5 linked regions of the Rattus norvegicus genome follow. The protein of the gene in region 4 purifies or fractionates together with the protein of the main gene of each other region. This does not show direct contact. Links are inferred from orthologs where the notes say so. Each region holds a gene or a part of one and is shown on either strand. Other genes may lie near its edges. The genes, in order: Coprs, Clns1a, Wdr77, Riok1 and Eftud2.

Region 1 (6,790 bases), on a different chromosome or scaffold from region 4:
GGCCTGGAAAGCCATGGTGTTAAGACTGTCGTCACAGCTGTAAAGCACTGAAGTGGAGAGGGCGGAGTCTGGAGACCACTTCAGTCAGCTCTGTCCTGAGCTGTTCGACACTGAAGGTCCTGACTCCTCAGTAACTTAAACACGGAATCACCACACGCCCTGGCAGCTCTACTCGAAACAGTGCCCACACAAGAACTATAAAACACATTCCAGACAAAAAGAAGTTCAGTGTGACACCATTCCATCACCAAATGTCATGTCATCAGAGGATGAATGATCCACAAAATGCAGGATACCTGATGGACGTGTTCAGTCTCGTGAGGGATGGGTGCTGACAGAGGCTGCTACAGGAATGGACCTTGGAAATGTGCTGAGTTGAGAGAAGCCGGGCCATGAGGGACCATGTATTGTATAATTTCACTTACTGTAAATTCACACTTGCATGTGCATAATAGGTAAATTATTAGGGGTGGGGGAAGCTATCAATAGGGGCTCAAGAACTAGAGAGTGGAAAGTGTTTATTCCAGGTACAGGACTTCTTTCTGGAGCCATGAAAACATCCTAGCCGTAGTTGTGACAGTTGTACACACTGTCATGGAGCTGAATGAACCAGATCATATGCTGTAATTTAGTTTAATGGTAAACACAAGTTATATGTCTTTTGCTGCATTTTAAGACTTTACTATGCACCTTAAGTTTCTCATTGGTGAAACAGTCATCAGGTTGTTGTGAGTTTATTTGGGGGGGGGGGGGACAGCTGGATCTGTGCCTGAAATACAGTGTGCACTCGGCACCGGCTCTGGCCGTACCCATTCTGTGCCCAGGTTGTACAGACCAGCACTGCCTGTTAGGACTCTCCTCCAGGATGGAGCAGAGCATCACGGAACTACACGGTGGCGAGTATCCTGGGTAGCATCACTACAGATCTTCTAACTCAACCTGGATGTGTAACGGAGACTTTTCCTAGCTTCACACACCAGATGCTTTTCATAGTCTCAAGCTGTTCCTCCCAGTGAAATGGGGTGGTTTGGATCCACGGGCATCCAGTACCTCCTGGAAGCTTGCAAACCAACAGTTCCACTCAGACAATGGGCAAAGAGGGCTGGCCAACACGAGAAGACAGACAAGACAGAGGGACCGTGCTGTTTCCCTCCATCTCTTCCAGGGGACACCCCAGTCTCCACCGTCTACTTGCCTAGTCGGTCCACGTCTAGCTCAGTCTCTGTCTCCCCACCAGAGAGGTCAGCTGTGGCAAGACCAGCCTGTGGAAGAAGAAATAATCACCAGGAAACTGGGTATGTGGGGCGTGTCACTGCTCTGAAGCCCCAAACCCTCCCTCCCATACTGCCCTGCGCAAGGCATCACCCAGCAGCACTTCTCCGCTCTGACCACTGGGTGTGCCCTCCTGCAGTGGCCAACTGACAGATGCTGGCTTTGCTCTCACCCCTGGGCCCTCTTCAGAAGTCTGGGCAGCAGGACTTCCCCAAGCTCACAGACCCTGAGGCTAGATGGGACAGCTCCCTGGACTCAGTTTGTAACCTCAGGTCTGTGGAAACTCTTTCCTCTAAGTTTATGAACACTTCAACTGCCCTAACTTCATCTCTCTTCTTCTTGGCTAGGATTGACTGCTGTTTCCCGATCCTGCAACTTCTCTGCAAACCTTTGCCTTTTTCAGTTCTTTGTCTCAATGTCTAACAACTCCTAACAAAGCCATGCCCGCAGTGGTCCATGGGGGAAGCCGCCTGAGTTCTAAACACTGGAAGGAATACCTAATCCCCACTGCCAACCAGGAATGTTATGCCCTGTTACTTCAAAGTTCCCCAAACTTTATTCCCCCCAAGATCTCTCTGCAGTGGAACCCGTAATGTCCAGAGCGTGGATGGTCAGGCAGAGTTCATTCAGTCTTAGCCCTGCCATTCATTCAGGGTGTGACCTCTAGAAACAGAAATGGTTGTTATGTCCTGGGAGGGGTCCTATGATGAAGGGACATTCATAAAACATCCACTATGGCTTGGAGACAGAGCTCAGTGGGAGAGTGTTTGCCCTGTGTGCACAAAGCTCCACACTGACTTTCCAACCCTACATAACATACTACAGGTGGGTCATACTCAGAATCCCAGCATCTAGGAGGGAGGGGCAGAAGGGTCAGAAATTTAAGATCATTCTTGGCCACAAAGTGAGCTCAGATCCTAGGCTACATGAGACCCTATCTCAAAAAAAAAAAAATTACAATAAAATAAAGCCAACAACAATAACAAAACCACCTGTTAAGACTTCAAGGAGGTAACATTTCTTTGACTTTAATCCACTTATTTATTTATTTATATATTTACTTTATTTGTATATAATTGTATGTGCGAATCTACCAGGAGGATCCCTGGAGAGGGAGTTGCAGAGGGCTGAGACATCTGTTGTGGGTGCGGAGAACTAAGCCGAACTCTGTAAGACCACCAAGGTTGTCTCTCCGGCCTTAAGCACCCTTCATCCTGCATGTAAACTGTACTTAGCACTCACCCAAATTAGCGTTCATTATCTAGTCACTCCTGAGCTTTAACAGCTCAATTCATCTCTTGTAGTCAGTGATAACCATGGGCCACTGTTGCCCCCCTAGGAGCTGAACGTCTTATGTGAACCTATGCCCATCTCTCTACTCCTGCTCACTCTTAGCAAGTGTAATCACTCCTCCACTCAAAACCTTCACAGGCCCTCTGCTGCCATCACAGACTGGCGATGGCATCCATATTGCCTCTCACGTTCCTCAACTTGCTGAACACAGTCCTCTTCCTGAAAAAGGCCTGCCCTCCGACCCAAGCTCCAAGGCCATTTGCCCCGTACTTTCTCATATCCAGACCTTTGCTGGGCCTACCTTCTCACCCAAAAACATCCTTTCCAGCTCCGCCCTGACTTTCTATTTTGCAAAAGTAATTTTCTTTGCAAATCTATTGGTGCTGTCGCTTCAAGTACCATCTGATGGTACAAGTACTGATGTCCAAGTAAGCATTCCACTCATACACCCAATTAGCATATACGTTGTGCCAGGTACAGGCGTGGCTTCTGGTAAAAAGGATGCCTACAGTCAAGAAGTCACTGGAGAGGTAGACGCAATAAGGGCAGGTCGTGGGAAAAGGCTGCATTGGCGGGCACTTGAAAACAAGTTTCTGGAAACCCCGTAACACGACGGGCTCTTTCGTTTTGTCAAATGGGGAAAAGCACGGGTGACATCAGCGGCACATCCCTATCAATGGCCAGAGGTCCTCAAGGTAAGGTTAAAAAAAAAGATGTTTCCTCGCCGCTCCCGCCTGACCCGGCCCCCTGCTGCTGGAACCAGCTCGGGGCGGCCAGCTCCGCGTTCTTTGCATTCACTCCCGCAGGAGCTCCCGAGAAGCCCCGGTGTTCTCTCCCTCCCGCGCCAGCCACAGCCTAGGGCTCGGGTCCACGCGCGTTTCCGCGCCCACCGCCGTTACCGGACAGGCTCTGCGCGCACTCGCGCGGCCCCGGCGTTTCCCGGGTGAGCGGTCTCTCCGGAGCGCTCGAGCCCCTCGACTTCCAGCCCGGGTGGTCGCGGGTGCCCGCATCCCCCACCCCGTGGCGCTCACCTCCGCGCTGGGGGCCTCCCATGCACTCGGCTCGCCCGGCCCCGGACCGGTGGCTGCCTGAGGGTCCATGCCGGGCCGCCCACAGCCAGGCGCCCGGGACGCTCCGACACGTGACGGCTGACAGGCTGCGGGCGAGCCAATCGGCGCGGCGCTGCGACCGAGGGGGCGGGGCGGCGCAGGGGCAGCGCCGGACGACACGCCCACCTGCGTTGTTCCGGACCGCAGGCTTTCCAGCCCTATCTGACCTCAAGCGCTGGTTTAGAAGAGCCTTAGGCCAGACTGGCCACTGAGCGTTCCTAGGCACCCGGGACTCCCCAACCGCAGTGTGAAATGACCCGAGAGCATATAGAGCCCACCCGGCTGTCACACAGTCACAGCCTCTGGGCTCCATCACTTTCGCTCTTCCCCATCACACGGTTTTCCAGATCGCCCTCTGCACCTGCACTACAGCATCTCTTAATGAGTAACTCAGCAGCCTGGAGAATTGCTGCTTTGATTTAAGGATAGTCTTTAAAGCCAATCCGCTAGGAACCCGGATAAAGGATCAAAACAAACTACGTGCCACCACAAAACGTGGTGTGTCATCGAATTTGGAGTCAAAGCCAGTGCTCCAAGTCAGTAATGTGACTATGTTGAATAATTCTCCGTTATAATTCTCCGTTTTCCATTTTCGTCTTTCCATGATTAATCTGGCTATTTTTACTGGCATATTGAGTACGGGTAACTAACCTAACTTCGGACACGGGTTGTTAACACCCCCTCCCCCAACCCCCTTCCCGCAGTTCAAAACCGTTGGGTGATAGAAACTGACAAAGCTGTCTTTAGTGGTCAAAGTCCTACAGTGTACAGTCTGGTTTCCCCCTAATACCTCAAAAACATAAGTCAGCGGCTAGCTGGAGATAGCAGTGTGTGTGTGTGTGTGTGTGTGTGTGTGTGTGTGTGTGTGTGTGTGTGTGTGTGTATGTGTGTGTGTGAACAACCCAGCTGCAGAGACAGCCTTTACTGCCTCCGCTCCCCCACAACAGCCTAAACTCCAGCAACAACACATGTCTACTACACATATAAGTTGGCGTATACATAGACATAAATACTAGAGATGAAAATTTCCCACCTGGGCTAACAGTGCTTCTTTAAGAGCCATCAACCGTCTAACAAAAATCCCAAGACCAGGCGTGAATACACCCCTTTAAGTTGCTGGCGAAGGTTGTCCAAGAGACGACTATCAATATATTATAGGCTCTTGCTATTGCCCTTGGCTGACCTTCATAGGTGAAAAGTAAGTTCCTACGGTTGAAGACACCATATACTTAAACGCAGGGTCCAGAGGCCCCTGACTGGAACTTAGCTGAAAGCCTCCTCCCTGAGGGATCAGCTTTCATGATTCCAGAAGATGCTATGCAAGCTTCCAACGGAGGAAAACAACGGATAGTTCTACCTAGCTATGAGACCTATGGACCACGACAGTGACCAGCACGGCACAATAATCCTCACAGAGCAGTAATGGTGTGTATGCCTCGGCAGTAACCAACAGCGTTCTAATTGGACCTAAAACCTGCTCGACAAGAGGGGAATCATACTAAGTACCAGAAACCCAGCCAACTGCTCGGTGTCAGTTAAGTGTGGCTCTTGGAAGAAAAGCAACAACCACCATGTTATGAAACCAGCATGATACTTAATTACTATGATACTTAAATACATGATAATTAATTACTCTAAATATCTGTCCTCAGACCCACAGACAAGTCCAGTTTCAGTCCTCATCGAGGAAACTCTTTGTAACAGATGGAGACCATTCCAGAAAACCACAACCAGTCAACACGCAGAGCTGTGGAGCCCAGTACCAACAGAAACATCTACAATACAACTCCCACACCTGAGGCTCAGGATCTCTGCAGAAGAGCGAGTGGAAACAATGTAGGAGCCTAAGTAACAGTTTTCTGTGCCATTGTGTCTCTTAGAAGTGTCAGAGGTCCCAGCTAGACAGTTTCACCAACATAACTGCCTGATCATGAGCTGGACAAAGATGAGACCAGTAGACACGGGTAGGGGAAAGCTCCCAGAGCTCCACCCTGCACACAGGCAACTAAGGATGCTGAGAGTGGGAGAAGCAGTCTTCCCAGGAAAGAGCACCTTTGGTTAACCAGTACCCGATGGTCTGCCCTGAAACACAGATACACATACAAGTAACACGGTATAGACTGAGCAGATTGGATTTAGGTACACATCCACACACACATTTCATACAACACTTACACACACACATTCACACAGACATGTACACACACACTTCCCTCACACATCCATACACATACACACACATATATTTCACACATACACACATTTCATACAACACATTCACACACATTCACACAGACATGTACACACACATTTCTCTCACATTCACACACATGTATACACACACATTCCACACATAACACATTCACACATTTCTCTCACATTCACACACATATATGCACACACATTTCTCTCTCTCTCTTTCCCTCTCACATACACACACACACACACACACACACACACACACACACACACACACACGACTAACATGTTTCCCAGGAGATACTTGCTTCGCATTGCATGATTACCATCCCTACAGCAGCTTGGAGAAAGGGTTGGACTAAGGAATCAGAAATATTTACGTGCCTTCTAGCTTTATTTTAAACAGGAGTCTTGCTGTATAGCCCAAGTTCAGTTAGAAATCTGGGTCTTCCTGTCTGTCTCAAGCGTCTCCCTGCTTTCCGAGTGCAGCCCCCACACTCTGACTGGAAGAGCGATCTGCACCGAATTCTAACAAGCTTTTAAAATAGCAAGCACTGGTGTAATTTAGAAATCACGGACCTATCTTCCCAGACAAGACACGCTTACACAGCTTCCTTGCTCCTCCTTGAACAACATAATTTTCCTGAAAAAAAAAAAAAACCAAGACTGAAGATGAATAGTTTTCTGTAAACTAAAAAGGATGAAATGTCTTCTTCTACAAGGACAGAAAGCCTTTTACGTCTTGTATGTATAAGGGTACACCCAGCCCAGTGCCTCTGTAGCAGTTTAATGAGGACACAGCTGCAAATCAATACACGAAGTGGAGACTGACAGTTGGTCATTCCCCTGCCTTAATCAACATTTAGTGACATTAGCCACTCCTGAATTCTGGTCTACTCATTTCTCTTCCTGTTCTC
Region 2 (6,028 bases), on a different chromosome or scaffold from region 4:
CCAGTAAACAAAAGCACACACATAGTATGTACTCACTGATAAGTAGATATTAGCCCAAAAGCTTGGAATACCCATGATACAATCCACAGTCCACATGAAGCTTAAGAAGAAGGACAACCAAAATGTGGATGCTTCAGACCTTCTTAAAAAGGGGAACAAAAATACTCACAGGAGAAAATATGGAGACAAAGTGTAGAGCAGAGACTGAAGGAAAGGTCATTCAGAGACTGCCCCACCGAGGGGATCCATTCCATATACAGACACCAAACCCAGACAATATTGCAGATGCCAAGAAGTGCATGCTGACAGGAGCCTGATATAGCTGCCTCCTGAGAGGCTCTGCTAGAGCCTAACAAATACAGAGGTGAGTGCTTGCAGCCAATCATTGGACTGAGAATGGGGTCCCCAATGGAGGAATGAGAGAAAGGACTGAAGGAGCTGAAGGGGTTTGCACCAACAATTTCAACCAACCAGACCCCTCAGAGCTCCCAGAGACTAAACCATCATCCCAAGAGTACACAGGGATGAACCTATGGCTCCATCCACATATGTAGCAAAGGATAGCCTTGTCATTAATGGAAGAAGCCTTTGGTCCTGTCAAAGGTCAATGCCCCAGCATAGGGGAATGTCAGGGCGTGGGGGGGAATGGGTGGGTGGATAAGAGAGTTACCCTCATAGAAGCAGGGGGAGGGGAGGATGAGATATTGGGTTTCTGGAGGGAAAACAGGGAAAGGGGATAACATTTAAATGTAAATTTAAAAAAATCCACTAAGAGAAAAAAGAAGAAAAACTTCCCATCCAGGCTACTAACAACTTATAATGCTAGCCACTGCCCCTTCCCTTCAAAGGCAGTTAGCTGTCACTAACGTGATGATGAGTAAGGGAGGTCAGGCCTGGAGTCGGTGGTGGGTTATCAATGTCTGGGACTGTGAGAGCGGAAAACTAACCGGCACCAGGAAAGCTCGCAGTGATGTGAGCAGAGAGTCTGCTGCCTACAGACTACACAAAAGCAGCAATAATGCAGGGAAGGAAAACATTTATGGGAAGAGATATAAACCACACAGCCACAGAATTTCTCTAAGGCTATTTTTTTGATAGCCGCATTAGAAGAAAACATGCATCGTTACCATGCATCGTTAGTTCTATAACTGCAGTAATTTAGAAACACTGAACTTAAAATATATATATTTATCTTATGTGTGTGTATTTTGCCAGCATGTATGTGTACCATGTGCATGTAGTGCCTGTGGAGGCCAGAAGAGGGCGTCATATCTTTCTGGAACTGAACTTAAAAGATGTTTGTAGGGCAAAACCCAAGTAATTTCCAGTAACCAGAGATGGATAACATTTTTTAAAACTGCTACCTTCCTAGAACTCTTTAAGCCCATTGTCGTTTCAGGGATCCTCATGCAGTAACGAGAGAGAATCAGCTACTCACTCACTGTAAGTCACACGAGTCATCCTCAGTGGTCAACGTCTGCATCCTCGAACTGTCCGGCAACAGTTGGTGTGGTCTCTACCTCCATGCCATCTGTACATAAAGACACTCTCTCAGACACTTGACTCAGCAAGGCCTGGCATGGTGGTCCCCTGTTGCAGTCCCAGCCCTTGGGAGGCAGTCAGATAGAACTCTGTGAGTTTAAGGCCAGTCTAGTCTGTGTAGTACTTCTAAGCTACACGTGAGACCCAATCTAAAAAATACAATAAAAACAATAACTGCATTTTAAAAATTTGGGCATTTTGTTGTTTTTGAAATAGGGTCTCATGCAGTTCAGGCTATCCTCCGCTCCTGACCTCAGGCCCATGGCTAGGACTGCAGGTGGACCACCACTTCAGGCTATCTAACACCTCCAATTCCACTCTTTCTATTTTGAAAACAAAGTTATCTGAGCCACCTGTGGATTTAAGTCAAATTAAAAATCAATCTAAACAGCTAACTTTGTAAATCCACAATATCAACACACATACACATACAAACCCACAAATCCTAGGCAGGAGTCAATTTATGCCTTTTCTTCCAAAAAAATTTGGAATGTTTAGCTATGTAGCCTAGACAAGCTCAAAGTCACTGCGTCCTGTGGGCTCACATCAGGCGCTAGGATCACAAGTTCATGCCACCAGGTCTGGCTGGCAGGGATTTTCAAATGCATTAATCAGAGCAGAAAAACAACAGCAGCAAACTTTATCTCCCCATTTCCATTATCTCACTAACATGGCATGGGATGAGGGCTAAAGGCATAGTCCAGCACTTAAGAATAAGAGCACTGTCGACTTTTCATAGGACCCAGGCTCGATTTGTAGCACCCACATGGCAGATTTCAACTGTCTACAATTTCAGTTCTAGGGCATCTGGCTTCCACAACCATGCAAAGGAGCACAGATATCCAGGCAGGCAAACACATATACACATAGAATACAGTTTTTAAAAAAAAATGTGAGGAGGGCAGAAAAAAAAAAAGTGCTCTGGAAAAAACCATCTGTAGTTGTTTACTTTCTCACTCTTGACTCTCTCCCAACTCTTCACCTGCCACATGTGAGTAAGGCATGCTGGGATACGATAATTACTTGAGTTTACTAGTCTGTGTCTAGCATGGGCAATACAGTAAGATACAATTCCTACCCCATCTCCCCATCCTTGCCACTATCCCAGAACTCCAAAACTCAGGTCAATATGCTGTATGCATGTGATACTGATCACAGCACCATGGGAGAAGTGAAAGGGGACCAGAGAAGACACACTAAAGCCACTTCAACAATGTCCTGTAGTCATTGAAAACAACAGTGTTACAATGTTCCTAGAGCATAAAATACTAATATATACTAAACACATAAAATGTAAGAGGTGCTGATGACAATGGCAGGCATATTACTTTTATATAATGGTTCACTGAAATAATCCTCTTATCAGCTGTTTGACCTCAAGCAATGCAACCCTTCTGAGCTTTAGCTGTCTAATGGATAAAATGTGGATCATAAACTTATCCTTAAACTTTTCATAAACTTTATTCTAAAAAGAATTAAATGTACACATATAAGGGGGGGTGACATACACCTTTAATCCCAGTAGTAGGAAGGCAGAGGCAGGTGGATCTCAGAGTTGAAGGCCAGACTGGTCTACTTCAAGAGTTTCAGGACAGCCAAAAGCTACTCAGAAAAACCCTGTCTCAAAAACAAAACAAAATAGACCCCCCCTCCCCAAAAAAGAGAAGTATATAGAGATGTGCTTTAAGTCTGGGTGTGGCACATAAGCAGTTCGAGATCAGAAAGCACAGGACTGCCACAGGACCGCCACATGACCACCACATGAGGTGAAGAGAAAGGGCACTCACCTTCGTAAGTTCTTACTGAATCTTCTGTTCGGACGCCTGCCATATTATACTGGCTGCTCACAGACTGAGAAAGCATTCCTTCTAATCTCTCCAGCGTGGCTTGCCCTTCTGCTGTTAAATGGGATAGTCCTTCTTCATAGGTGTAAAATGTAGGGATGTCCCCCTGTCCTTGCTCTAAACAAACAGAACACGATTTTATACAGCAGTGGGAAAAAAAGACAGTGGACAATAAATAATGCATTTGCTGGAGATGTACAGGCTTCCGGTATTTATTGATAGGGTCATTATTAAGAGTTCCAAAAAGAAAAGAAAAATATGTCCCTACCCATTAGAATTAGAAAACCAGAAGGAAAAGAGGGTGGTTTTTTTTTTTGGTTCTTTTTTTCGGAGCTGGGGACCGAACCCAGGGTCTTGCGCTTCCTAGGTAAGCGCTCTACCACTGAGCTAAATCCCCAGCCCCGAGGGTGTTTTTAAAATTGGTGAATCCTTTATTATTCTAAGGTGGGAATATTCCAAGGTGGGAATTTTATAAGTGAATAAATACAAAATTTGACTGAAAGAATTTTGAATTAACATATTTTTCCTTTTTTAAAAAACCAGAAAATCTAAAAGAATATAAAAGGGACAAAAACAGAAAATCACTTAAAAAAATCTCTAAGAAATGAGAACATATTTGTGTATGTGAAGAATAATTCCAGAAATGGGTAGTCTTAGGCTGGGAACTGGATTCCTGTGTAGGAAAGAACTGTAGATGCCCAGACTGGTGCCAAAGAGACCGTTTGTGCCTTAGGTTGCAACCTACCAGAGCAAGGGAGCACATTCTGGTCTGGAGGCAGTGGAAAATAGTTGTGGATAAATGAAGTATGGGTTTAGGGAAAAGGAAATTAAAGTGCGATATCAAGAGAACTCTAGAGAGACAACTCGGTGGTGTCAGAGCATTTGCTGTTCTTGCAGGGCCTGCAGTTTGGTTCCCAGCACCCAGCTAGCAGTTCACAACCATATAATTCAAACTCAGGGGGTTCCAAAACCCTTTTCTGGCCTCAGAGGGCACATATAGGAATCCAGGCAAAACACTCATACATGTAAGATAAGCAAATTAAACACAACTTTAAAGAGATATACATGAACAGATTTCTCAGTGGGGAGGGTAGGGACAGCCAGCTCAGACTGAGGTATGCTCTTGACCACCGACTTTCTAGCTGTCCTTGTCTTTCCCATTTGTTTCTATTATCCATTCCCCACCCCTAATATCTTATTGTTGTTTGAGCTTGGGAAAGCCATTCATTTCCCCAATTGTCTGCTGAAAGGGCCGAGACACCAAGTATGCTAATGGACCTTTATTTACAGCCATTTTACATGGGTTCCTTTATAGAAAAAAAAAAAAAAAACCTAAAAATTGTATGCCCTTAGCACATGCTTAAAATGAAACAGTAACGCCAACCTGAGACCCAAGTCACTGACCATGTGCTTCCACATCATACTCTTCTCCATCATAGTCATCCGAGTCTTCATCCTCAGGGTCTGGATGCAGGGCCTGGCACTCACACATTGCTGTGAACATCGCCTCCACTGAAGGACAGGAAACTGTAACTAATACTTTTTCCAGTGCACCACAGAGTTTTAGAATAAATATAACCACTGCTACAAACCAATTTAAAAGCAGACAAAAGGTTTACTAGGCTAACTATATTTATAAAATCTATAAAATTCAAATGAAAATTGACCATGGAAAATGCTTGAAGACAATGAATAAGTCACAAAGTAAGGATTCAAGACATTATAATATCTCTTCATTGGTGGCTGGATTTAAGAAAAAAAGGCCAACCCAGGTGTTGTGGGTCAGGCCTCTGATCTCAGAACTCATAAGGTAGAAGCAAACAGACTTCTTTGAGTTTAAGGCCTGGTCTACATAGTTCCAGGACAGCTGGGACTATATAGAGAGACCCTGTTGAAAAGAGGAAAGAGAAAGGGAAAAGAAAGAGTAAAGAAAAAAGGTCAGAGATGTTGGTCACACTGCTAATTAGGAAAAAGCCTCTGTCACATGACATACTTTCCAAAAATCTCCACATTTTCAACTTTGGAAGTGTTTCCAGCCGTTGACATTGAGTCAACAGAGTCAATCAGACTGACCAGAGTCCTCCTTGCACAAAGTGCACCAGATACCATGCTAGTCACAGTATTCTTACTGTATCCACAACCTGGGACAGTAATAAGTACCTGCTCAATGACTTTAAGGAGACTAAACAGGATAAAGCAACAGAACGGAGGTAACGGTAATGAAGGGGAGAGGTGTGTGCTTACCAATGGGAGAGGGGACATATGGAGAAAAGATCAGTATCACAACACTCACATGCTGACTTATCACTGGGCACAAATCTAAACTCAGAAATGGGTTCAACATCATCATTGTCGTCCTCATCTTCATCAGAGAAAGGTTCTTTTGATTCTTCTATAAAAGAAATAAAAGTAACCTTTTTAGACATTAAGAGTTAGTTTTTCTTAAGACTTTACTTATGTGTGCCAGTATAAGCTTTATGTACAGAATGCATACAGGAGCCAGAAGAGGACATTGAGTCCCCTGGAGCTAGAGTTAGAGGCACTGTGAGTCACCTGACATGGGTCCTGGAAACCTAACTCTGTCTTCTGAAAGAGCAGCAGGAGCTCATAACTGCTGGTTTGTCTCTCCAGTCTCAAGGAAT
Region 3 (6,028 bases), on a different chromosome or scaffold from region 4:
TATTTCCAGTATTGTAGACTAGACATGAAGTTCTTGAGACAGTGTTTGAGATTGGATCTTGCTTACCCTTTCCCCAACAAAAGCAATTTTCTGGTTCTAAACTCCCAACTCCCAAACCCCAACATTATCCGTATTGGCAATAAGCAACTCAACATGAATGCTGATTACATACAAATTGTCTTTAGCTTCCTCCACACGTGGATTCTGGTAGATGCCCTAAGCCTTCACATACACACACGTTAAAAAATATATTTTTCAATTCACATTTACTTTGTGGGCTCAACCAGACAACTACCAAAACACAAAGAAAATACAAGATATTATACACTGTCCAAATGCAGTACCTTTTTAAAACCAGAGCTCCATACTCTAAACACAGCAGTGTTATGATGCTATATGAGTTTTAGAAGGCCTTTTTCTGAGTACCTTATCCTTCAAAACCTCATTTCTCTTCTTTGGTGTTATTTTAGCCATTCTAACAAACTTTTATTTACTCATTCCCTTCAGGTTTCCCCCCTGCCAAAGCAGGCCGTGTAAACGGATAATTTGTCCTTCCCTAAGGAACACAAAATACAAGCTTTATCTCTTGAGAAGCAGAGACTGATTCTACCTCCCTCTTACGCCTTCCCTGGAACTTAGTAAAATTCCAAGTCCTGACTGACACAGGCTGCAAATTCAAGTGCTTTACTCAAGGGTGATCACGAGAGGCTCTTGACTGGCAAGAGTAGAATGGAAGCTCATGGTCCTTCAGGGCGCCCATTTTATGTGCTTTTCCTAAACCAAAGTTGTAAAGCTCTAATAAGATCAGTTACTGACCCATAATTGCTAACGGAGTGCCTAGTCCACCAATGCCAAGTATAAATAAATAAGTTCTAGATGTTCTGCGAACAGTAGACTACAAAGACAGTGGGCAGTTAAGACTGATTGATACTCAGGTGACTCACCTAAGCAAAGCAGGTAATAAATAAGCTTTGGAGGAAAGATGAAAGGATAAGTCTTTATTTCACCTTCCAGTATTTTTGACAGTTTCTCTGATGCCGGATCTTCAATCTTAGGAGTCCAAATATACAGCGCTCAGACTTCAGCTCTCCAGAGCAAAGTACCCAGATCAGTCCTCAGGGAATTTTTAGGTGGGAAAAATGACAATGACAGATTTCTCTGTAACAATCCATGTCAATCTTCTCGCTTCACTGAAACACTTTTAATTTAAGTACTCCATCATCCCTAAAACTGTGAAATCTAGGACAGGAAAGCACTCATCTCTCATACACAACACAAAAGAAGGAACACAGGGTGAGCGAGCGCGAACTCCAAGGGCCAAATTGATTCACCCAGAAAGTGGATTTGATTCCATTTAACAGGCATTCGTACAAAACTGTTCTGTCTTCTCAAGGTAGTCTGGCTAGACTTTTGTATATGGGAAGTAATTCCCATATAGTGAATTAAACTCTATATAAAAATAAGTTACGCACCTCTGAGTAATGTGAAGTATTCCCAAGCATCCAGGGATACCCACACTCCATATCCCTAACAACATAGTCAGCCCCCAGACATGGGAAGCATAAAATCCTCTGGTCATTTTGTCGGGGGTAAAGAGCATTGCTTTGGGAAAGCTGAAGGATAATTTTCTCCACTCCAAACTATACACTGCACTCACACGTGTACTCACACATACATCCATTTATAAAGGAAGCTTTTTCCTCCAAGTCACTATGGGATGCAGCCTCCCTCAGGCTGAGAATCTGACTAGTTACTGCACGGGACTAGGGAGTAATCATGCTCTACAAGGCTCCTGTGCTCTCTCTCTCACAAATGGAAGGCAGGGGCAAGCGAGTCGACACTTGCAGACAGAAGGCTCTTTTCTTCTGCAATCCATTCTACTCCACAACACTGTCAGGTCCAGGGGCTGGGAGAGGCTCTAACGGCACAACATGGTGGATGACCTGATGGTCCCAGCCAACTGTGGTAAGAAGGGAGTGATTGAGTGGAGACCATGTAGCATCTCTCACAAAGTCTCTGTGGGCTCGACTTCTAAACCTAGAACAAGAGGGGAAAATGTGGTGTGGTAAGAGAAAAGATGAAAACCCAGGAGGAACGATTAAAAAAAAAAATTAAAAAAAAAACTAATAACATACACTTATGACACATTTTTTGAAACATTTCACCATCTACACAGCCCCATCACCAGGCCAGTGGATGTTAGATTATCCAATCCAGTCTACTTTCTTAGGTGAAGAAATGGTGGACAGAATCGGAAGCAATAATGCCCACAGTCAACAGGAAATTATGGCAGAGGGACACACCCAGGCCTTCCATCCAGTGCTTTACAGCAAGTTCCACTTCTCAGAAGTGGCGCCCTGCATGAAGCTGGAGCGCTTGGTAAACAGCCTACAATCAGACAGCTTCCAGCACTCGGTCTTAGACACACAGCTGCAAACAGAGACGACTTGGGGGAGGGGATATCTCTGCAGACAAAGATGAAGAATTTTCTTGTATTTATACTTATTTTTAATAATCTCCATGTGGGTGGGTGTGCAACTGAGTGCGGACGCACACAGGTATCATATGCATTGGATCTGGAGTTACAAACAGCTATGTACAGACTGATGCAGATGTTAGAAACAAAGGTATTCTAAACTGCTGAGCCATTTCTCCAGACCCAACAAAGGAAGAATTCTACATGCATGTTCCTGAAGAGAAAACAGACTTGCTTGCCTACTGGTCTTGATCCCTGATTCCCGACCACAGGATTCTACTTCAAACTTACACCTCAGAAAAGCTTGAATCCAGCACAGCAAGTGAACAGTCTTCACTGAGAGAGGCCAGGAAGGGAACACTAGGAGAGGACACAAAGGGAAGAGAAGATAATGCCCATAGGTTCTACAACCGAAATCTAACAGGGCCAGCCCCAACCCCACTGTAAAGTGAGCCGGGGAGAGGGCAGTCTGATGCCCACTTTGGGTTCAGATCTTACCACCATTACATCCAAGGAAGATGGAACAGAGCCAGTGCTCACGGAAACCAACCAGCCCAAGGGTCCTCCCTACATTAGCAATTACCCACCCACAGGCTCTGAGCAGGAGTGAGATTACATCTTAGGTCTTTCCAAACTACACAAACCAAATAAAGACTATCTGGACAAGCTTAGGAAAACCAGGTTAGAGTACTGCCCTATCTGAGGTCCAATGTAAGCAGCTAACGCTTTGCCAAATAGACACATCCCTGTATCACTCCACTCCTACTCTTTCATTACAGTCCCCACCCATCCCTTCCAGGTTCCTGGTAACAAACAGTACCTGTGTGGAGAGAACACCAGTCTAGTGACACACTGCGAGTGCACAGCTGAGCTGAGGGTGCAGCTTGCATTCTTGGTGTCCACAAGGGAGACAGATCCATTCTCATCACCTGTAGAAGAAAGAGAGCATGTCACAGTGGTTAAGAATTTATGATTTGGGCTAAGTAGCACACACCTTTAATCCTAGTATGTGATGAGAGGCAGAAGCAGAAGGATCTCAGAGTTCAAGGCCAACTGGGCCTATCACGTTCTAGGACAGTCCAAACTACATCTACATACAGACCCTGTCTTGGCTGAAGGGAAAAAAAAAAAAAAAAAAAAAAAAAGCCATAGACACTGATGTCAGTCAGATGGGAGATTTGAATGAATCCTAGTTTCTCAAGATGTAGACAACAGTTTCCTTTGTGATATAGAATCAGTCAGTCACTATGTGGCTGTGAATTACTGGATAAAGTTATTACATTAACTACAAACTCTTGCCATGTGTAGTCACACCACAGCAGAACATAGTTCCCTAACAGCAAGCACTTGCTATGCAGCTCACTGATTTCTAACCATGCCCAGAATAAAGGAGCTGAAACAATGAAGCAAACCTATTAGGAAAAAATGATGGTCTCCAAAGCTAGGTAAAACCGACATAATCCATGCAGTGCCCAAGTGTGCTGACAGGAGCATGTACTCCAAGGTATCCGCCCCATTCCCAGAGTCGATACGTCATGCTGCCTTACCAAAGACAAAGATTTCACTCTGCTGAGGATGCCAAGCCAGGGAGGTAGGGAGGTAGCCAGAGGCATTGCAGCCTGGAAGGGAAAAAAGGGAGATTTGGAACAATGGTCACAACCTAGAAGAAGCTTCTTCCAAAAGAAGTCAGTAAATCCTGGGAGCACTTTCACTGAGTTTCTTAAAGACTGCCAGAGCAGTCATGTATGTCCTCACCCCTGAGCCTACACCTACATCTACCCATCCATCTCCTGCCATCTCCTGTACAACTAAAAGCACAAGACATAAAAATAATAACCCTGACCCTTTGCCCAGCTGTTTGCACAGTAAACTACACATGGAAACTAACCCTTACTCTGGGTACCCCATGCACTGTGGTCAGCAAAGTCTCAGTGAGACAGAAAACAGTGTTGTCAGAGGGTGGGCATCTAAGAGTTCTGCTGTGACTGTGAGCAGCAAAAGCCTCCTGCACGTGGGCCCCATTACCACTTCCTCCTTACCATGGAGCTCAGACTCACCCATCTGTGATGCCGGCTTGGGACAGCGGGTATCCCAGAGCAAAATTCTACTGTCCTAGGAAAAGGAATAGAGAAAGGGTTACACAATCCAAAACAGCATCTACTCCCCAAGCTCCAGACCAGGGATTTGGGCCTACTAAGGGTTAGCTATGGTTGGGAAGAAGCCATTGGATCTCACCTCACTGCATGAAAGAAACACAGTTTCTCTGTGGGGAGAGGCAGCAACACAGGTGACCTGTCCCGCATGAGCTGTGAAAAGAAACATGGCAAAGGGAGTGTGAGAAACAAGCTGGCTTCATTAGATAATTCAATAAATATAACAGACTATAAACTACAACAGAGTCAAAGTTAATAGTCATAAAACAGGAAAAGGCTGGCAGAAATAATGAACTGGTAAAAACAATGAAGTTCAATTGCAGGCTTAGTAGGCAGAGAGGAGTTTGCAATGTAGATGGTGTGAAGGAAGAGGCTTACTAACTCTACGATGTCATATTAACAATACACATACCTCTTAAGTATGAAACACTTGAGAGTTCTGGTGCTGTCTTCCGTGAGTTTTCTAATATGCCTTCCCCTAAGACTGAACTTGCCTGTTTTCCCATCACACGTCTCCCACCCTATAGGCTGAGCTCATCCATACCTCCCTTCGGCCCTTCCAGGTCTTCCCAAGCCAGAGTTCAGAGCCTGAAAACCTAAGGCTCTCACAGTAAAAGCCAAAGAGCAAAGGACTCAGTGAATGGAGCAAAGCTGTCTCGGTCCTCCCACAAATACCAGGGTCACTCTGTGGCTGTCTCTCTGTTTCTAACAGGGAGAACTGAAATACAAAATAGTTGTTTCACTAAGGACATAGCCAACTGACTTGTCTAACTGTTAACAAACCAAGTAGGACTTTTTCCTAAACAAAGTGAACTCTAATGCTGCTAATAGTACAAATAAATTGGTTGTCATTATTTGTAAAGTTTCTATAAATAGGTTACTGACTTTTAAAAAAATATTAGAAAAAATGAAATGCCAATACATAATAGGCCAAAAAAGTTAACTTCCTGGCAACCACCTAATTTTAAAAAAAATATATTCATTTATTAAATATATGTGTGCACATGTGCCACAGCATACATGTGGAGGTCCCAGGAAAGCTTGCGGGAGTCAGTTATAGTCTTCCACCAAATAGATTCTAAAGATCAAACAGTCTCCAGGTTTGGCAGCAAGTACCTTTACCACCACCCAAGCCATCTCAGTCACCCCACTTAAACCTTTTTGTTAACAATTTTAAAATGTACAGTGGGGCACAGCTTTAAATTCTTTTGGGTGGTCTGCACCCAATGGATGAGTGAAGGTCACCAGTCAGCTGGAGGCTGAAGCAATCCTGAAGTGGTCTAACCAGCCCTCGCAGAACAGCCAGAACAGTCCTGCCTTAGGACTAAACCACCTGCCACCCTCCCCTCACTCTAGTATCTATCTTCATGAACTCAAAATTCATAAAGAATTGCTACCA
Region 4 (5,470 bases):
TATGTCAGATACTCTTTCAGGTTATGCACTGAAACATCAAAACAGAATCAGCATTAGGGAGAAAGATGGGTAACATCATTCACTCTGGTAGGACTCAAGAATATACACAAAGGGATTAGCAGGGGTGTTGGACCTTTTGATGCTGCCTTTTACAAATGTGCTGGGTTACACTCACAGCTACCGTGGCATGCACATCTCATTACCGGGGTTATACAGCTGGGTTACACTCACAGCTATCCTGGCATGCATGTCTCATTGCCGGGGTTATATGGCTGGCCTAAATTAACAACACGACTCTGCCACTTTAAGCAAGACAGATAATTGAGCTGGGATTTGTAAAGAATGAGAAATACATAGGTGGTAGTCATAGTAGTAATATCTATCTGGGTGACTTCACAACTGTTTGCCTGTGTACTACATTACTAGCAATAAGCTAATCTAACCAAAATGAACAGTCAATCAAGAGGAAGTTTCATTTTCTCTGAAATTAAGTTATTTAACTTTTTCCCTTCTTTTTCCATTTCCTTGTCTTACAGGTAAGTGAATGGGTCCTGGGAACAGAACTCAGGTCCTCTGGAAAAGCAGCAAGAGCTCTGGATGGCTGAGCCAGCCCTGACATGTTTCAAGACTGATTTTAAAAACTACTAAAAAGGTTTATGGCTATCATTAATTACTCCAGCATCAAAGACAACCAGGATTAATGACAAATATCTCACTTCTAACAGAAGAATTCAGAGACAGAATAAGTACGTGTCCAAATTTAATTCTAATACCACTTTACTGTAACTTTTATATCTTCAAACTCTTATAAACTTCAAAAAGAGTTTCCACGGGCTGGCAAGATGGCTCATCGGGTAGCCTGACAATCTAATTTGGATCCCAAAGACCCATGAGGTGGAGAGAGTCAACTCCCCAAAGATATCTTTTGATCACCACACATGCGCTGTGACACACTTGTGAGCACACACACAAATAAATGCAGGATTTACGGAATAAACTCCGTTATAAAGCACTAACAACATGTGCTGTCCATACCTTCTGGACTCCTGACAAATCTTTTTTCAGTCCTGTGACAGTCTGGTATAGAATCTTGAAAACAAAAGGAAAACAAATATAAGCATAATATATATAAAAGACAAGAACATGTATATACTGTACCATTAAGCATGGACTAAACAGTAATCCTATGACTCAGAATGCACTCACAGTCTACCACAGTAACACAGAGAGGAGCCTGCATTATTCTGGTATCCCAGGCGTCTCCACAGGCTCAACCATCAAACCCGAGAGTTTTCAGGTAAGCTCTGCAACCCCCAGATGACAGTGAACACTAACTTGGACTTCATTCAGTGAAATGGTACTCACTCCACAAACAGTCCTATTCTGTTCTCACCAACAGAGCTACATGGCAAAAGTTGTAGTTATTACTAACAGTGCTTCCAAGGGTTGGCAAGATGGCTTAGTGACTAAAAGTGCATGCTGCTCAGGCATGAGGATCAGAGTGGGGATCCCAGCTCCTACATTCAGTGGCTTAGACGCCTCCAAGGGCCCCAACACCCTTTTCTGGCCTGAGGACACACAAATGTATACATACAATCACACAGCAAATCTATAAATAATATTTTTTTAAAAAGTGCTTTTAGGCCAGAGAGCTAGCTCAACAGATGAAGGAACTTGTCATAAAACCTGACTATGATCTGCAGAAGACACATACAGTTGGAGACACGTGATCCCACAAAGCTGGCCTCTGGCCTTCCTACAGGCACCATGGCATGCATGCTCTAGCTGACACATGTCTAACACACATGGTAATATATTTTTCATACTTTTGTTTCATGCATGAAAATCTGGAAAACACTGCTTTGCTCTTTATATAAAAACTTATATAAACAACTAAATTTTGCTACATGGCTGCAAAGCCTAAAATATTACTTTCTGGTCCATTAACAATAATTTCCCTCCAAGGGAATTGGAGAGATGCACTGTGGCTAAGAACTTATTCTGCTCATGAAGAGGACCCAGTTTGGTTCCCAGCACCCATGCAGGGAAGCTTACAAATCCCTCTTAACTCCAGCTCCAAGTGACCCTAACACCTCTGGCTTTTAAGGACATTGGCATTCCCTCATGTGACATACCACCCCCCTAATTAAAAATGATAAAGATATTGTAAACATTCCTTCAAATATGTGTGAAAATGAAGCATAGCTTCATCAATCTACTACAACCATTTTTAATCCTAGACCTCACCTTTTTACTAACTATAGTTCTCCAGACACTACAGATACAGCACCCCTCTCTTACATCCAAGGAGCATTCCCTTTATGGCCAACAGGTATGGAAGCATGTCCACACAAAGGGAGCTGACACTCACTGGCACCAAGCCACTCACATTGTCCTGCTGAGTGTTCAAAGCCATGTCCTCTTCCTTTAACCTCATCATTATGTCCACATCTCTCTCATAATTCTTTACTTCATTTAAGGTTCTGGGAATATATGCTTGTTTGAACACCTAATAGAGGAAAGCAAAATTAAACCATTATTCCTGTACTCTTCCCATCCCCTCAGTACCCTTAGCTGTGTCAATCACGCAGGAACGTACTGTCACTGCCAACGCCGACTCTCACTCAACCTGTATACACACTGGTGTCGTGCCTGCCATGTGGTAAGCCAAAGGCAATTTGGTAAGCAACAATGAGATTTTACAACTGACCTAGGGAAGAAAGAGAGTGTATTCCCAATGACCCTTAGAGTAACACTCCTCCCATACATGCACATTTCAAAATGCATCTGAGGAAGGACAGGATGGAGTAACAGTTAGCAAGGACAGCCTGGCTGTGAGAAACTGAATACCCAGTATTCTCTCTGTGTAGAAATATCTCAACTCAGCTTCCACAAACTTCTAAGAATAAGCTACAATTAAAATAATAATAGATATAACAATAATAATAATAAGCTGATTGTGGACCTTAATGAAGATTTCTTGACTTCTTTAGACTAGTTTGATTTTAATTTTTAACCAAGTATTTAAAGTCTGTTATATTTACACAATCAGCACATAGGTCATTTAAAAATTCACACCTGCAAATGAATAGGCTTTTCCTTCTTGACTCACACCCCACTAGCTCTTTTAAAACTCTACCGGAACAACAGGCTAAAAGGTTGCTGAGTACAGCAATATAATTGAATAAAAACCAAGCTCATGCTTTACCAACAAAAACAAAACCATGATAAATCCTATAACAGGAGAATCAGTTGGAAATGATGGCACACATTCATAATTCTAACCGTCAGGCAGCCGAAGCAGAGTGAGTGCTTGTTTGAGGCCAACCTGTACCACATATCAAGTCCTAAGACGGCCTGGTTTATATGAAGACTCTGTCTCAAAACACACAACAGAACACCCCAGAGTTCCAAGCAAACCCACAAATGTTCCCCAAGGCTGTGAATACATAATAACCCCACCTCTTCATCCACATGATCTTGGCTAGTCTTTTCTTCCATGGTCCTCTGAGATGCTATTTCCATAGCCTTTGAAAGAAAAAAAATTTCCTTTACATTTACCCTAGAAGACACATTTTCTACTATGTAATTAGTTATTTTTTCTCATCTTTACAGGCCTCACATCTTCTATGGTGTAAGCTGGCTTTCTATCAAAGACCTGCCAGCCATTTTAAAAACTAAAATAAACCCTTCTAGTCTCAAGTCACCTTTGCTGCCTTCTTCAAAGTCTCCGTGGTGGAGCACTGCCCGGGATCTACAAATCCCACAACCCCAGCACCAGCATCACTCACACCCAACTCATGGCCAAGACAAGAAGAATGAACTTTTTAAACTTAATTTTAAACTACTAGCAGAAATCTTTCTCAGAAGAAAACTGAGACTCAAATCACCCACAAAGTCGCTTGAGTAACAGTAACTGGAAGGAGACAGAGGCTCCTTGACTTTACAGGGTTCTTGACTTTAAAATACAGGGAGGGCCAGCGAGGTGGCTCAATAGTTAAGGGCATAGACTGTTCTTCCAGAGGAACAGAGTTCAATTCCTAGTACCCACACATTGGAGAGCTCAGAACTGCCTGCTACACCAGCTCCAGGGAGATCCAATGCCTCTGGCGATACAAGCATCCACACACACACACACACACACACACACACACACACACACACACACACACACACACACATGCATGCACGTGCACATACCAATAGGTACACACAGTAAAGTAAAAATATCTTTCAGAAATAGAGAGGAAAGAACATTTATTTTCTGGTTTTTTTAAAGTATACTAATGGTTTAGAGATAAAAATACTTTGATAGTCAATACATGTATGGTGGTTTGAATGAAAATGGCTACCACAGACTCAAAGGAGTAGCATTATTTGAAAGGATTAGGACATGAGGCCTTGTTGGAGTAGGAGAGGCTTTGTTTAAGAAAGCCTGTCACTGAAGGTGTTGTTTTTAGGTTTCTGAAGCTCAAGGTAGGCCCAGTGGCTCACTCTCTCTTCCTGCTGCCCACTGATCCAATGCAGACCTCTCAGCTGCATCCCCAGCACCATGTCTGCCTGTGAGACTACATGTTTCCTGCCATGAAGATAATGGACTAAACCTCTGAACTGTAAGCCAACCTCAAATGTTTTCCTTTTTAAGTGTTGCTGTGGTCAAGATTTTTCTTCACAGCAATAAAAACCCTAATTAAGACAAGATGTAGTTGCCTAGTACATAATCAAGAGTTCATAATCTACCAAACACGGTGGTACACCATGACCCTGGCATTTCTGAGGCAGCAGCACGAGGAGCATAAGGTCAGGTGAGATGGGGCTACAAAGTAAGACTATCTGAAGGAGACAAAAACCCCCAGAGAGACAAATGAAACGAACAAACGGGCTGGAGGTGTGCTCAGGAGCAAAGAGTGTTGGCACAGCACTCGCTGAGCCCTTGCTTTAACCCACAAACTGCTGTGGGGCACAGTCATCATCTCAGAGCGCAGGAGAAACAGGCAGGAGAATCGCAAGTTCAAGTCCATCCTTGGCCATAGATAGAGTCTGAGGACGCCGGTGTATAAAAAACACTGTCTCAAAAAAAATTAGAGAGAAAACAATGCCCCTGAAACCACTGTTCCTCCTGAATCTCCTTGAGACAACTGTCTGACCTGAGTTTTAACATTTGCCAGACACAGCAAGATGAACAAGAACCAAGGGGGAAAGGCACTCCTGGGAAAGAGGACATATGAGAATCCCGACTCAGAAGTGACAAGACTAACAAAGACACAAATGGACTTCTGTTTGGGGACCAAAGGATACACTCAGACAACAACCACAGAAGCAGTACGCAGGCGTCTGTCTTGCAGGGAACCCTAGCTGTTCAGTTTCACCAGCCTTGAGCTGGGGTGTTTTCTTCTGCCTGTGGGATGTTTTTATTCCTCAGTTTGGTTCCCAGCACTCACTTCGGGTGGTTCCCAAGCATCTGTAACTC
Region 5 (6,028 bases), on a different chromosome or scaffold from region 4:
ATGTTTTATGTTAACCAACATTTGTTATTTGTATTTTTTTGGGGGGGGGGTTCTTTTTTTCGGAGCTGGGGACCGAACCCAGGGCCTTGCGCTTCCTAGGCAAGCGCTCTACCACTGAGCTAAATCCCCAACCCCTTTATTTGTACTTTTTGAGACAGGGTCTCTCATATCTCAGGATAGGATCGTGGGTATAAGCTCTCATGCCCAGCTAATCTTACGTTGTGTGTTTCTCTGTGAGTATGTTTGCAAATCTCTCTGGTGAATGAGGATCAGGTGTGCTGTGGCTTGCAGGCAGAGGTCAGAGGACAACCTTCAGGGTTTGTCCCTCCACTCCTGACCTGTTTTGAGATAGGATCCCCTCGTTACTGCCAACACCAGACTGACTGGCTCTGAGCCTCAAAGAATCTCTGCCTCCCATTTCCTGTAGGAAATCGCAGACACTCACACTACCAGATGGGGCTTTTTCGTGGGTTTCCAGGATTGAACCCAGGCCGTCAGACTGCATAGCTAGGTACATTCATCGCCTTTCTAAGGTCTTAGGCTGTGATAATTCACTCTAGGGAGGTAAATGCAGTTCCACGAGTTAACATCATCGTTAGAGATGAGGCTGAGATACGATGATGGAGTGAGGTCGATGGAGCGAGGTCTTTAACTCCAGGGGCCTGATGCTTTTCCCCTGCTTCGGTTTTTGTTGCTCACAAACTGTAGAGGAGTTGTTGGTGAGAATAACAGTAGTCACCTAGCATTTGGGACAGAAGATACTGAAGAGAGTGAGAAGTGAGAGGCTGAAGGGCTAGGAAAGCTTGAAGGGTGGGATCTAAACTGTTCCTTTGAGCAGGATATCAGTCACTGAAGTGGGGGAAAAATCCACTGGAATTGCAGACAATTGTAAGCTAATGTGTGGATGTTGAGACTCGAACCTGGGTCCTTTGAAAGAGCAGTAAGAACAATGAGTTCTTAATCATCACTAAGGGAAAATGAGTACTTTTATAACAAGCATGTCCGCTGTCAGCATAGTTGAGGGCACAGCGAGAATCATCAGTGAGGAATGGTGTACCGCTAAGAGCAGATGCAAATCCACACGAAGGGATTGCTGATACAAAGCATTGCTTTGTGGTCTGAAAATGTCAAGTCGTGAAAGTCAAGACTAGAAAGCCATTCTAGATTAAAAGGATAAAGATACCTCAGGGTGTGTACAGTCCTGGTTTATGTCCTTAGCTGTATAATTCATGACTGGAACAGTTTTTCAACTTGGCATTAGGTAGAATAACCTGCTGGTATTGATGTTTTTGTTTTGATGATTGTATTGTGATATTTTGAGAACTTTTTTTTTAAAGTAAGATGCTGGAAAGATGGTTTAGAATTTAAGAGTAACTTCTAGGCAGCCATGAAGACTTGGAGTCAGATCCTAGCATTCACATGGCAATCTTCATGTTCCCAAAGGATCCAATGCTGTCTTTGGAGACATGTGTATAAAATTATACATAGACAAACAGACACACACACACACACACACACACACACACACACACACACACAGATAAGTTTAATTGATTAAGTAAATGTAGAAAGGGGAGGTGGACTAGGCATTAGTTTTACACCCATTATGTCAGCACTAGGGCAGAGACACAGGAAGGCCAAACTGGGTAGCAGTGAGAACCTATCTTTAAGGGTAAAAATAAAGCTAAGTGTGACTGAAAAGATGGCTCAGTGGTTACGACCACTGGCTGCTCTTTCAAAGGACCCAGGTTCAACTCACATCGTACTCATTAGCTGACAATTGTCTGCAAATCCAGTTCCAGGGGATCTGGCTTCTGTGTGTGACATGTGCCTATGAGCATGGGACATAGATATACATGCAGGCAAGACACCCATATACAGAAAATAAATAAATAGAGCCGGGCCTGTGCCTATGTTTATAATCCCAGCACTTAGGAGGCTAAGGCAGGAAGATCAGGAATTCAAGACCAACATGAACTTCATAGAGTTTGAGGCCAGTTTGGGCAACAAAGAGGCCTTGTCCCTAAATAAAGGATGTTTGTGGGCTGTAAGTAGATAGAATGGCCAGGGCAGAGAAGTGGAGAAAGGTTGCCCTCTGGGAACACTAGTCAGTAGATTGGTCAGTTACCAGGCGACTCCTGCCCATATGGTGGGAAAGGTAAGGGTGTGGGGCAGGCCCTCGTTACCTGCCAGACCCTAACTCTCCTGTCCTTGAACTGTAGCATCATGGATACTGACTTGTATGATGAATTTGGGAATTATATCGGACCAGAGCTTGATTCTGATGAAGATGACGATGAACTGGGAAGAGAGACAAAAGATCTTGATGAGGTAAAACAAACACTGTTTCTTTACCCCTCTCGTTCTACAGACAATGTTCCCACAATGACCTGCATGCATCTCTAATGCTTCCTAGGGGTTGAGGGGTGGATTTCAAGACTGTGTGCCCTGGCTATCCTGGAACTCACAGAGACCAGCCTGCTGCTGCCTCTCGAGTGCTGGGACTAACGGCATGCGCCACCAATGCCCAGCTACTGTTGAATAGTTTGTATGACTTGTACTGGGAGAGAGGACAAGGGTTCAAACGTGAGCAAGTGAGAGACAGTTTGCATTCAAATAGCAACAGGCATCCAAAGTGGTTTATCTTTTAGCATTAATCAGAACTCAATGAGTAAAACGTAGATTTAATGAAAGTAGGGTCTCACTGAATGATTTTAGTGAGCACGAGAGGGGGCGGATAAAAATAGACACTTCATGATATAAATGTATAAAACAGTCAAACAGTGAAAAACTGTCTCATCCCATTTCTTAGTGCTGGATGGGTCTGGATTTGCAAGGGGTTTAACTTCATGGGACAGCAGGGATGGGGACAAAGTCTGGCTGCCATCGGGCTCCATAAAGGAAAATGTTGCTCAAGCTAGAAAGAAATAAGCATTAGGAAAAGAAAGTTGAAGCTGCCTGTGGGTTTGGTGAAGGAGACAGCTTGCATCTTCAGTGTGTTCCTGTCTGCAGGTCCGGAGGAATTGCACCCTGGTGGGGCGTTAGGGAAATCTTGAGGTCAGCTGAGAGCCACTGTGGTGATAGAGCTTCGGTGTAGGCTGCTTCCCTGGTGTGCACAAGGTACACTGGATTTAGTCCTCAACACTGCCAAGATGGAGGGTGGAAAGGAGAGGCCGTGGAACAACTACAACAACAAAAAAGGAATTAAGTAATTTCTCTTAAAATGGAATTAGAGCTGAGCTGTGGTACCTCATGCCCTTAATCCCAACAACTCGGAGGCAGAGGCAGGTGGATCTCTGAGTTCAAGGCCAGCCTGGTCTGCAAAGTGAGTTCTAGGATAGCCAGGGCTACACAGAGAAAACTGTTTTTTTTTTTTTTTTTTTTTGAAGTGGGTTTTTTTTTTAAGATTTATTTATTTATTATATATAAGAACACTGTAGCTGTCTTCAGATACACCAGAAGAGGGCATCGGATCTCTTTACAGATGGTTGTGAGCCACCATGTGGTTGCTGGGAATTGAACTCATGACCTCTGGAAGAGCAGTCAGGTGCTCTTAACCGCTGAGCCATCTCTCCAGCCCCCGAGAAAACTGTTTTGAAAAAAAATTTTTTTTTCCTTTTTTTCGGAGCTGGGGACCGAACCCAGGGCCTTGCGCTTGCTAGGCAAGTGCTCTACCACTGAGCTAAATCCCCAACCCCTTGAAAAAATTTTTTTAATTTAAAAGATTTTCTTGGGGCTGGGGATTTAGCTCAGCGGTAGAGCGCTTGCCTAGGAAGCGCAAGGCCCTGGGTTCAGTCCCCAGCTCCGAAAAAAAGAACCAAAAAAAAAAAAAAAAAGATTTTCTTATATGAATTGATGTTTTCTTAAACAGAAAAATCATGTCTTGAAAGAGAAAAAAAAAGCTATTTGGAGCTCTGATACATAGGAGTTTGTAAGAAGGGTGTTCATTCAGGAGGGAAGGAGCACAGGGAGAAGGTCCACAGGTAACTAACTGGTAAACCATCTTTTCTCCAGATCGCCAAAGTCTAGTACTTAGAGGACAGCTGTGGCTGTGTAGCAGAGGAGGTGGGTCAGAGAGTTGAAGGCCCCGAGTAGAAAACAGATAAGAGCCAGATGAGGCGATGCAGCCTTGAATTCCAGCAGAGACCCAGACTGCACTTCATGGCCAGCCTGGTCCACACAGTGAGGTCCGGGACAGCCAAGGCTGCACAGTCAAAGCAGAGTGCTGGAGTTCTTCTTTCAGTGAAAGGGGGTTAGAGGCCTGACAACCAGCCAGGGCTTGCAGTCCTGCCAGCAACCCTGTGAAGGCGGGGGCTTGGGCCTCCACTCGAGTATGAAGGGAGAAGGGGAATGAGGATGCTGAGGAGCTAGAACGAGACAGACAGACGGACAGACAAAGGGAACGCTAAGGGTGCTTGTTAGCTTTATTCCAGGCTCCTTTGAGCTACTGCATGCTCAAGTAGAGATGGTTAGAGGAGGTAGGAGTTATTACATAAAGCCCACGGCTCCCTTCCTAATGCATTCAGCTGTATGGGACAGAAGACTGGCTGGGTAGCTATTTTGGAGCCATTACCAGTAGGATATGTTTGGCTGCTGAAAGCGCTGATGTAATCTTGGGCTGCTTTAATAGAAGCAGAATATACAGATGGCAGGAGGTGGCCAGGCAGCCACCACCGCAGGTATTTGCATTCTTTTCTAAAAAACAGGTTGACATTTTGGAATTTGTGTGAAAGAAAACAAACGCCCACCACTGTATCTACCCACTTCACTGCACACAATGCCTTCCGCTCTGTTCTTGTGGACAAATTGTTTTCTAGTCAGCCAACTCCCATCCCCCTTCCCCTCGCCACTCAGGGCCTTCACCCATCATTTTTCCTCCCTTTCCTGCTCCAGCAGCTTTTCCTCACTAGTGGGTCATCCCAGGCAGTGTACAGCATGTTGTCTTACCTTAAAACCTTGGCTCTGAGCACGGTGGCAAATACAGAGGCAGGCGGATCTCTGAGTGCACGTCTAGTCTGAGTTCTAGGACAGCGAGGGTTATAGAGAGAAACCCTGTATTAGAAAAACCCTTTGCACATAATTCTAGCTAGGTACGTAGTTCAGTGCCAGCCTGGGCAACTTAGTGGGGCCTTCACAGATGCATGGTGCAGTTACCACATCTTTCCCAAGTTACTACAGTAGGTGCCTAACTAACCTTCCCCTCTGTGTTCTCAAGGTGGAAAGGGTGGGGTATGTCGTCCTCCTGTCCCCTATATGCACAGACAGTGTATAGGTTTACTCCCAAGACACTGAGCTATAACGGCTGCTACAAATTACCCTAGTTGAAAGCCACCCTTCTAGAACAAATAAAGTCAGGACCAAGGACAACAGCTCAGTTGGCGTACAAGCACAAGCACCTAAGTTCAGTCCCTGAACCCATGAAAGTGCCAGGTGTGGCAGTGTGCTCTTGTAGTCCCACTGTTGGAAGGCAAGAGACAGGTGGATCCTGAGCAGGTCACAGTGAGAGACTGTCTCAAAGGAGAGAGAGGGTGTTTTTGAGGCCAATACCTTCCCAGCCTCCACACACGCAAATGCACTAAAAAACAAGGTGGGAGGGGGTGTCTCATCACACTACTTAAATAATCCAGAAGGTTCTCTACCGTTACCTCCTATGTGACTTCAGTTTACTCTCATCCCAGTGTTCCCGCCTCTCCTAAATGTGTTTCGTCACAGCAGTGGGAAGCCTAACTAGGGTAGCGTCTCGGACTAGAATGGCTTGGTTGGATTTCGTGTTACACTGAACGTGAAGAAGTGCGGATCTTTCCAGAGCAGCACCACCATTTCCCCACCCAGCACGTGCAGGCTGCAGCTTTTTAAATCCTAATCCTCACCAACGCCTGTTTTTGCCTGCCATCGAGATAACTTTTCAAAATCAGTTTTGTCAACCTAAGTGAAAATTTAAAGATACAAGTTTGTTCCTAATTTCTACCTCTGGCTTCTGATTTTTGTCCTTGGAGAAAGTGGATTTTGGGTTGTTTTTCTCTTAATT

Evidence for each region.
Region 1: the proteins of Riok1 (region 4) and Coprs purify together in Homo sapiens (affinity purification with mass spectrometry; 3 studies listed by BioGRID and IntAct, with this or other methods). This does not show direct contact. The link is inferred for Rattus norvegicus from reciprocal best matches to the Homo sapiens genes RIOK1 and COPRS.
Region 2: the proteins of Riok1 (region 4) and Clns1a purify together in Homo sapiens (affinity purification with mass spectrometry; 3 studies listed by BioGRID and IntAct, with this or other methods). This does not show direct contact. The link is inferred for Rattus norvegicus from reciprocal best matches to the Homo sapiens genes RIOK1 and CLNS1A.
Region 3: the proteins of Riok1 (region 4) and Wdr77 purify together in Homo sapiens (affinity purification with mass spectrometry; 5 studies listed by BioGRID and IntAct, with this or other methods). This does not show direct contact. The link is inferred for Rattus norvegicus from reciprocal best matches to the Homo sapiens genes RIOK1 and WDR77.
Region 5: the proteins of Riok1 (region 4) and Eftud2 purify together in Homo sapiens (affinity purification with mass spectrometry; 3 studies listed by BioGRID). This does not show direct contact. The link is inferred for Rattus norvegicus from reciprocal best matches to the Homo sapiens genes RIOK1 and EFTUD2.

What each region holds. Positions count from the first base shown.
Region 1 is NC_086034.1:82,420,381-82,427,170, reverse strand, and holds the start of Coprs (coordinator of PRMT5 and differentiation stimulator), read right to left. Parts: upstream 3,692-6,790; 5' UTR 3,666-3,691; coding exon 3,597-3,665; intron 1,263-3,596; coding exon 1,196-1,262; coding exon of another isoform or gene 1,192-1,195; intron 1-1,191. UniProt on the Homo sapiens protein: Histone-binding protein required for histone H4 methyltransferase activity of PRMT5.
Region 2 is NC_086019.1:161,442,902-161,448,929, reverse strand, and holds part of Clns1a (methylosome subunit pICln), read right to left. Parts: intron 5,779-6,028; coding exon 5,680-5,778; intron 4,899-5,679; coding exon 4,791-4,898; intron 3,504-4,790; coding exon 3,330-3,503; intron 1,532-3,329; coding exon 1,464-1,531; 3' UTR 1,443-1,463; exon of another isoform or gene 1,439-1,442; intron 1-1,438. UniProt on the Homo sapiens protein: Involved in both the assembly of spliceosomal snRNPs and the methylation of Sm proteins.
Region 3 is NC_086020.1:196,128,796-196,134,823, reverse strand, and holds the end of Wdr77 (methylosome protein WDR77), read right to left. Parts: intron 4,783-6,028; coding exon 4,712-4,782; intron 4,589-4,711; coding exon 4,534-4,588; intron 4,096-4,533; coding exon 4,024-4,095; intron 3,406-4,023; coding exon 3,297-3,405; intron 2,837-3,296; coding exon 2,768-2,836; intron 2,038-2,767; coding exon 1,878-2,037; 3' UTR 971-1,877; downstream 1-970. UniProt on the Homo sapiens protein: Non-catalytic component of the methylosome complex, composed of PRMT5, WDR77 and CLNS1A, which modifies specific arginines to dimethylarginines in several spliceosomal Sm proteins and histones.
Region 4 is NC_086035.1:26,974,369-26,979,838, forward strand, and holds part of Riok1 (serine/threonine-protein kinase RIO1), read right to left. Parts: intron 3,529-5,470; coding exon 3,463-3,528; intron 2,510-3,462; coding exon 2,390-2,509; intron 1,090-2,389; coding exon 1,036-1,089; intron 1-1,035. UniProt on the Homo sapiens protein: Involved in the final steps of cytoplasmic maturation of the 40S ribosomal subunit. Involved in processing of 18S-E pre-rRNA to the mature 18S rRNA. Required for the recycling of NOB1 and PNO1 from the late 40S precursor.
Region 5 is NC_086028.1:88,338,857-88,344,884, reverse strand, and holds part of Eftud2 (116 kDa U5 small nuclear ribonucleoprotein component), read left to right. Parts: intron 1-432; exon of another isoform or gene 433-511; intron 512-2,222; 5' UTR 2,223-2,226; coding exon 2,227-2,331; coding exon of another isoform or gene 2,332-2,332; intron 2,333-6,028. UniProt on the Homo sapiens protein: Required for pre-mRNA splicing as component of the spliceosome, including pre-catalytic, catalytic and post-catalytic spliceosomal complexes. Component of the U5 snRNP and the U4/U6-U5 tri-snRNP complex, a building block of the spliceosome.